Schizosaccharomyces pombe: one gene and its partner. The gene in region 1 interacts genetically with each later gene. Each region holds a gene or a part of one and is shown on either strand. Other genes may lie near its edges. The genes, in order: met16 and aut12.

Region 1 (3,980 bases):
ATTTCATTGGATATTAGGAATCAATCTTACCTTTTATGATAGATTTTTTAGTGATTTGAAGTCCCTGAGAGGTGAAATAACGGGTTGTCTAAATTTTGGTAAACATTATTGAATAAATTTGCACATACCCTAGGGAAATTAATGCTTTGGTCCCATAATAGCGCAGAGGGAGAAAATATTACAACTGAAAGTTTCTTTTCTGTGCATTTGGCTATTACATCTAGTACAGTTGCACGTCTCACATCGCCTTCGCGCAAGTTTCTATTTGACCAGATTAAGGGGTGCGACATTGACTGTATAATTATAACTATTCCATTTTCATTAGTTTGCCAATTTCGTGTTGCATATATCCAACTATGTGGTTCTGACGGTGAAGATTCCAATGGTATAGATATTCGTGTTAGAAGGGAATTTTGTAAAGTCCAACTGTAAACGTGATCTAATTTCAATTGCAAGTTAACTCCTGAATTAAATGATTACCCTACCAAGTACAGCAAAATAGAATTTTTCGTTGTACTCTTTATCTTTGGTAACTTGAAATTCATATAGCTCATTTGGCGCGTTCAACTTCCTCAAGTAAAAATCGTTGGTAATTTGGAGATTCATGTCTTCAAGACAATTCCCAAAGTTGACGTCCCTTTGGAGTACACGGGATTTCTTTTTCCTAAACATATGTAAGGCCTACTTACCAATAATAAATTACGATAAGTCGGTTAGTAGTAGGTGACATTACAAAATAATTGAATGGTGACTCAATTTTTGTTGTTAAAAAATATATATATGAATTTGTAGATCAATACTACATAGTTTATTCTATATATTTAATAAAAAAAAGGAGGAAAGCATTGTAAGTTCATATGGTTTTAGGTCTTCAAATTTCAACGTATAAACCACTTCAATTTTTTGATAATTAAATCATCTTATTTCTAATATATCTATTTGTATAGGTGTAAACACCGAGAAGTTTCTTCATAGTGTATCCCTAACCTTCTTCGTCACGATAATAATTTAACCCATTTACTAAGAATGTATGCTGAAAACCTTCTCACAATGACCAACTAAAACAAAGAGAAACTCTTGAATTGTCTACTTAAAAATGCCGTATTTTTTCATATGGTGCACTTCGATAACAAAAAAGCAGTTTACAACATTGCACAAAAGGATTGTTTCACTGATCAGCCGTCTCCTTCTTTTTAAGCTCCGCCATATATTGTGCGAATTTACTTTGAGGATGACTGTGTAATCCACATTCTGTTTTCTCTCGACCGCGCCAACGTCCGGCACGTTCATCTTCACCTTCTCTAACTGGTTGAGTAGAGTGCCAGTCACCAACTGATCTGTAACCCTTGTTCAGAAGTTCATTATATGGAACGTTGTTTGTAATAATATAATTATGAACTTCAGTAAAAGACCAGTTAGCCAAGGGGTTGATCTTTAATACTGGTCCATCCAGCTGAACAATGGGCAAAGATCCGCGCTCTCCACCTTGACTACGGCGGCGGCCAGTAAACACAGCAAGTACATTTAAGTCAGAATAAGCACGACTTGCTGGTTCCACTTTGACTAAAAAGTCATACCGAGATTCATCTGTCTCCCAAAGCTTCTCACCAAACTTCTGAGCAAATTCCTTTTCGTTGGCTGCTTCAGCACAACGATAGACGTGAACAGGCACGTTAGGATACTTAGTTTTGACTTTTTCAAGAAGATCCAGTGTTTCTGGGAAATGATGAAGTGTGTTGATAAAAATCAGAGGAACATTCATATCCATTTTCGATAACATGTCCATAATAACAAGCCCGGACAGTCCTAACGCAGATGTTTGAAACAAAGAAGGAAGTGTCCAACGGCACCATTTTAAGATATCTTGAGGACTAAGCTCCGATAACTGCTTGTTGATGTATTCGAGATGTTCTGGGTGAAACAAGGTTTTCGCTTGCAATTTATTAGCAGGCGTATCGATTGAGCTCATATTGAGTACAATAAATTAGAAAAACCAAAATTTGGGACGAAATCAATTATGTCGGCGAGGAACCAATGGTTTAAACCGAAGATAAAAAGTCGAAAACTTTTCAAAAAAACCAAAAAAAAAATTTGAGTCGTGTACGCAGAAAAATTTTACTTACACTTACTTTTATAGTTTTATAGAAGCTATTGGTGTGCTCTGTAAGACTTTTAGAGAATAGTCAGACAGGTTTGGAAAATAATTATTACGGAAGATCTGCATCGATGCTTACAAAGGAAGAGGTAACAAGACGATACCTATTTTAGTTGGTAATAGTAAATTGTAGAAAAAAAGAATAAGATCATTAGCATTTAAGTATAGTTAGTGAATTGTATACTAGAATAAATGAATATTATTAAATGTATCAAATACGAGATGAAAGAGAGAGATTTTGCGCATTTTAATGTTACTACACCGTTTTTTTATTTTTGGTTTTAAATTTATAACTCTAATGAACTAAAAATTTCTCTTTAATTATTTCAATAACGTTAGTCAAAGGTTGATGCACAAATCTTTTATAACGTTTTGTATATTATAGTTAATATTAAAGGTGTGTAATAAGGAGACGAAAAAAATTTTTTATGGTATAAACCTTCGTAAATCCAATATGCAAAAAAAGGGCACTTTGTTTTAAGCAATTAATTTACAACTCCAAGAACCAGAATAAATATCCGACAAAAAGGGAATGATAAGAAAAAGTCTTAGCCTAATAAACCCACCAAACTCATAAACAAATACTAAAAGACAATGTATAAGATACATAAAAATGAAGGACCAGTGAACATTCCAATCCAGAAAAACACATTACCAAGGATATCGCGTTTTTTGAAAGCAAACATTTGTTGGAGGTCATAAAGAGGAATTTGTAATAATTGAAATGTTAATATGTAACACCGGAATTTACCAGTTGCGAGCAGCATCACAAATTCGTGTACAAGAGCGGAAATTAAAAAAGTGAGTAGAACAGCGTGAGATTTTTTTAATTTGAAACCGGAAATTGATGAATGGTAAACATGTCTCATGAGAAAAACGTGGACAGGCTTATTCCATTCGCGCGAAAATTCATCCCATGTAACTGTATTCCACCAAGCACCATAAAATCCACGGTCGGCAAATTTAGTGATTTCAGCAAATGCATTAAGAATGCAATCAAAAATCAGGTAAAACATGATAAGGTAAAGTATGATAGCGGGAAACATAATTTTGTTCATTAACAAGGGAGCAATGCGTAGCTTCCCTATGAAGTCAAGATCTTTGACAGCCACAGCACTTGGAACGAAATACCAATCTACAAGAGCCAAGGTGAGAGCTAGTAAACCGAATGTGGAGCCTGCTTTAAATGCCATATAATGCCAACGGAAATGGGCAACTCTAGGAAACTCCATACTATAGACAAGGGATGGAACTAATAAATAATCAACGTAATTAAAGAAATTGATGTTATCAGGATAAACAACATTGCCCACTTCGCTACGCATCTGGCGTGACAAATATTTTGCTGTTAAAGCGACAATTTCTTCTGCCTGCAATGTAGATATCGTTTCAGCAGGCTTATTGGGAAAAGTCAGTTCAAACGTGTATTTCTCATCTTTCTCGGTGGAATTCAGGCATTCACGAACAAACTTTAAAAGTTTTTCGTATTCATTATGCAATATACGAATCTCACTGATATAGCCCATATGGTGAGAATAAGAAAATTGTTTCATAATTAGAACGGCACAATGCAGCGTGAAGAAAACACATTGAACAATTGGAAAATCTCGATGCTTAACCCAATAGACAGCTAACACCATATAAAAGCCCTGCCACAAAGTTTGGATTGTGTAACCCAAATTAGCCCATCTAATCATGTTCTTCTCAATACACACTTGTAAACCATAACTAAAAAAGCTGAGGCAAATCATAAGGAAATCTGAGCTAAACAACACGAAAAACTGGCGAAAGACCTGTCTAGCTAGTGGTAAACCAAGCAAAGTAT
Region 2 (4,522 bases), 1.7 Mb from region 1:
AGTTACTTCGGGGGAAGAATCACGAAGCAAAGCCATAAACATTGAAGGGTCTCCATTCTGTGAAAAACACTTTAGTAATGATAAAACTATAATCAGTTCATACCAGTAAGATCCCATTCACTGCCGTTATAAAATCGTAATAAGACTCAATTCTGGCATTATAGGCTTTCGAATCGTTTTCAACCTTTAATACTCTGAAACCACATGATTCATCTGATTCTCGATGAATACCAGCTAAAGCTTCTGATTTTTCTTTAATAAAGTTCTTTAAACCACCAAACATTTCGATTGTTTAGTACTTAAATAGGGTTGGTGGTGATTTAGGTAATGGCGCGGTTGACTCGCTATGATATTAAGTTCATACAGTCGGAAATTTATGTGAGTAAAATGATGCTGATATTAATAAATTAAAACAAAAAAAGGAAAAAGAAAAATTAATAAAGCTGTTGGAAGCAATCACCGCTCTTTTAAATATTTTACTGTCAAAACATCATAAAAAATAAAAAGAAATGAATTTCATTAAACTTTACATGCTCATTATCAAAACGAAAGGTTTGTTTGTATAAATAATCGATTCTCCTCCCTTCGTATCCATCTCAAAATCTTATTAACATTTGCAATAAGCAGTTGACTGCTAGTGGTAGCGTTAGCAATACAATGAAAGTCGAACGATGCAGTTGACCACGTGAATAGAAGCAAAGATTCATGGACAGTCATATTAATTGAGAAAGAATTTTTTTTGTGAAATGCCTGGTCGTGTAAGCTAGCATAAATAGCATAAAGAGTTCTAAAAACATAGTTAGCAAAGCAAATGAGCCCAAAGATAGCGATCGTATTGAAATTGTAAAGAAAAATAGATCATTGTATACGTACCTAGTATTGAAATTGGGAGTTGAAAATGAATAGCCAGGAGTATAAAACTGTGAGTATTTCTTTGAATAAAACAAGTAATGTGAAATACAAGGAGATCCGGGATTCCTTGGCGTAGTTCTATCCATTTCTTCACAATAAATGAGCTTTTTCAACCATCCATGATCCTGAATTTCCTGAGCAACTTTGCATTTCACTGATTGCATTTCAAAAAAGACACCACTTTCGCTGCTCCCCATTATCAAGACAGTGTCCTTACATAGGAAATAGCTATAAATGTAAATATAAGCATCTGGATTTAGAGTAGGAAAACAAACAGGCACCCAATGCTCCATTGAATCATTAAAAGACTGTGTGCGGAAGAGTGATAGGAAAAGTAAATAGAGATCATTAGCATGTAATAAAAGCTTCTTCGCCTTAACCATACAAACAAGCCGACCTCGTATAGCTATAAAAGTAAACAGCAGAGATTTGGGTGTTTCTCTCAACAGCAGTTGCGACAGCTGATCACGAAAAGAGGAACGTAAAGGAAGAGGAGATATGGCATTCAATGTGGGGACTAATTCATAATCATTAAGTTGATCACATAGTTCTTTTAGGAACTGCTCGTTGCTTCCAATAAGTCTTCTCAAATCAAAATTTGGGCGGGAGTTTAAGGTCAGCTGCATAGCTTTCGCAGTAACCCCAGTAAGTATTTGGCAATATAAGAGGTTTAACTCACTGAGTAAATATGCTGCGCTTAAAGTTGTCGATGGCGATACGCCAACAAGATAAAGAGGATTTTTGGAGAGAACAACGATAACATTGGAAAAGGTAGAAAAGCTTGTTAGCTCTTCTTTCGACACTTCGAAAGAGCTAATAATTGCTTGTAACGCGCCAACGGTTGATGGCTCAATTGAATCATCAACAATGTTACTAAACACGGGCTTCCCTGATGAAGAGAATATCAAATATGTGCGCTTTTGTTTTGCCAAATCAAAAGATATCAACGAAAGTAGTTTTATAATTTCATCAACAGCCGTATTGTTACTACTGCTCGATACTGAAGTGCTTACATTAAGCGGAGAGGAATTATCATGCAATATATCAGAAAGTAATTGTTCAACGTTTTCCACGTGGCTTCGCAATTCTGGTGTAGACCTGCTTACTTCTTGATCATCCTCTGACACCGAAGGCGCTGCCATTAGAACATTACCAGGGTTTAACAGCAGTGATCCACATTCCGACTCATGAGATCTATGAACGTTATCATTTTCCACTTCCTCCTTGATTGATGAATGCTCAGATGTTGGTTCCATCAACTGGCTGTTTTCATTAGTGGGATGGATTGAATAAGGAGGACTGTAGCTGTTGTAATAATGCTAACCTCGCTTCATTCACTCATTTACGGTTAAAATTAAGGGAAAAGAAGGCGTTTTAAATATTTTGCTTTTTATTGAATAAAAAATAATTATTGATTCTTTAAATAAATGTTGAAACTCAACTTTGCGGTGCAATCATAAAGATATTGTGCCGAAGATGATTTCGTACCTAGTTGTATAGGTAATTCAAAAGGGAAGATTGGAATGGCTGAGTCTTCGGCAAAGAATTTCATATTACAACTAAATGGCATTCAAGATACGTTTACATGGAAGTCAATTGTATACAGAGAACAGTACTGAATTTAAAATAAAACTAATAATTACACGTTCTATGAAATGTACGCGCTCTAAACTAAGAATACTCTTTGGTTAAGAAATTAATGTTAAAAAGCGCTTAGAATATAGCGCTAGATGTATTACTACAAACTGTTTATATTGAGTTATTTAGGAGTGATCACTGATCTATCGTTTCAACTAAAATGCTGCTTATCCTTGACTTCTCAAGGTCTAAGGATGGTATTCACATTTAAAGATCTAGAAACTTGTTGGCTAACTTTTCGAGATGGTTCCATCTAATATTGAATAGAATTGAGATTTGCGCATTGGTTCTTTCAATATCTATATTGCTCCAAAACAAAAACATTAGTCTAGTACTTGTAAGAAAACACAAGTCATACAGGGAATCGAAAATAAAAAATCAGTTGAAATCTTTAATCGACGCTTCATATTTCATTTTGAGCAATAATAAAACACTCGATTAAGCCAACCATCATCTAGTTTGTTGAACATGCTCAGTAGTCGGTATTAACTTCATAGAGACTTGAATAGATATAGGAAATCTTTTAATTTTTTGATATTTTATATTTGAGAGTAATAGAATAGTGTTTTATATAGCAATGCTTAAAAGCTGTCTCATTATTTTCTTTTGCATGAATATGAACGTAAGAGAATGAAATATATATATTATAAAAATATTTGATTATAATATTATTTACGATCCAAAACTAGAAATATACAGTCGCTGGTACATGCCTGGTAAGCTACGGCTTACGTTGTTGCGACGAGCTTCTTGTTCGCTGTAAGCTACTTTCCACTCAACCACCGCAACTCTGGGTTTATCGTACACTATCTGGAAATGGTAATATCATGTGTAAAAACCGTACTAACGATATAGTCTTTAAATCCTCATCAGATTTTTAACGAAAGTGGCATCCAAGAGCGGGGTGAAAATGCCCGTCTTTCATCGTTTGTGGGTGCAATTGCTGTGGGCGATTTGGTAAAAAGCACTTTAGGTCCTAAGGGAATGGTAAGGTCAAATCTACATAGAAAAAATTTTTAATTAACGATTTATAGGACAAAATTTTACAATCAAACTCTTCGGGTGATATTGTTGTGACAAATGACGGTGCTACCATTCTTAAGTCTATAGCTTTGGATAATGCAGCTGCTAAAGTTTTAGTGAATATCTCAAAAGTCCAAGATGATGAAGTTGGCGACGGTACTACCAGTGTGTGTGTCTTCGCTGCTGAACTTCTTCGTCAAGCAGAAATTATGGTCAATGCAAAAATACATCCTCAAGTGATTATCGATGGTTATCGTATTGCTACTAAAACTGCTATCGATGCTCTTCGTGCTTCCTCTATTGATAATTCTAGTGATCCTGCTAAATTTCGTAGTGACCTCGAGAATATTGCCAGAACTACTCTGTCTTCCAAAATCTTATCTCAGAATAAAAACCATTTTGCTCAGCTGGCTGTTGATGCAGTGCTTCGCTTGAAAGGTAGCACGAACTTGGATAACATTCAAATTATTAAGATCCTTGGTGGTAAACTTGATGACTCCTTCCTTGATGAGGGATTTATTCTCAATAAAACTATTGGTGTTAACTGTCCCAAAGTTATGGAAAATGCTAACATTTTAATTGCTAATACGGCTATGGATACGGATAAAGTGAAAGTTTTTGGTGCTAGGGTTCGTGTAGACACAACTGGCAAGCTTGCCGAACTTGAACGCGCTGAGCGCGAGAAAATGAAGGCTAAAGTTGAAAAAATCAAAAGTCATAATATTAATTGCTTCATTAACCGTCAACTCATTTACAATTGGCCAGAGCAGCTGTTCGCTGACGCTGGTATTATGTCCATTGAACATGCAGACTTCGATGGAATTGAGCGGCTGTCTTTGGTCACTGGTGGTGAAATTGCTTCAACTTTTGACCATCCTGAACTTGTCAAATTAGGTCACTGTAAGAAAATTGAGGAGATCATTATCGGTGAAGATAAAATGATCAAGTT

Evidence for each region.
Region 2: mutations in met16 (region 1) and aut12 together harm fitness more than expected from each alone (negative genetic interaction), as found in Schizosaccharomyces pombe (one large-scale study listed by BioGRID).

What each region holds. Positions count from the first base shown.
Region 1 is NC_003424.3:2,305,718-2,309,697, reverse strand, and holds met16 (phosphoadenosine phosphosulfate reductase), read right to left. Parts: upstream 2,175-3,980; 5' UTR 1,970-2,174; coding exon 1,169-1,969; 3' UTR 820-1,168; downstream 1-819. Other genes in the region: arb2 (argonaute binding protein 2), read right to left, coding at 31-88, 129-439, 486-672; acyl-coA-sterol acyltransferase Are1, read right to left, coding at 2,740-3,980. UniProt on the Schizosaccharomyces pombe protein: The NADP dependent reduction of PAPS into sulfite involves thioredoxin which probably plays the role of a thiol carrier. Required for methionine synthesis.
Region 2 is NC_003424.3:641,345-645,866, forward strand, and holds aut12 (autophagy associated protein Aut12), read right to left. Parts: upstream 2,195-4,522; 5' UTR 2,169-2,194; coding exon 874-2,168; intron 788-873; coding exon 541-787; 3' UTR 501-540; downstream 1-500. Other genes in the region: grh1 (GRASP family protein), read right to left, coding at 1-57, 104-283; chaperonin-containing T-complex beta subunit Cct2, read left to right, coding at 3,367-3,369, 3,406-3,537, 3,585-4,522.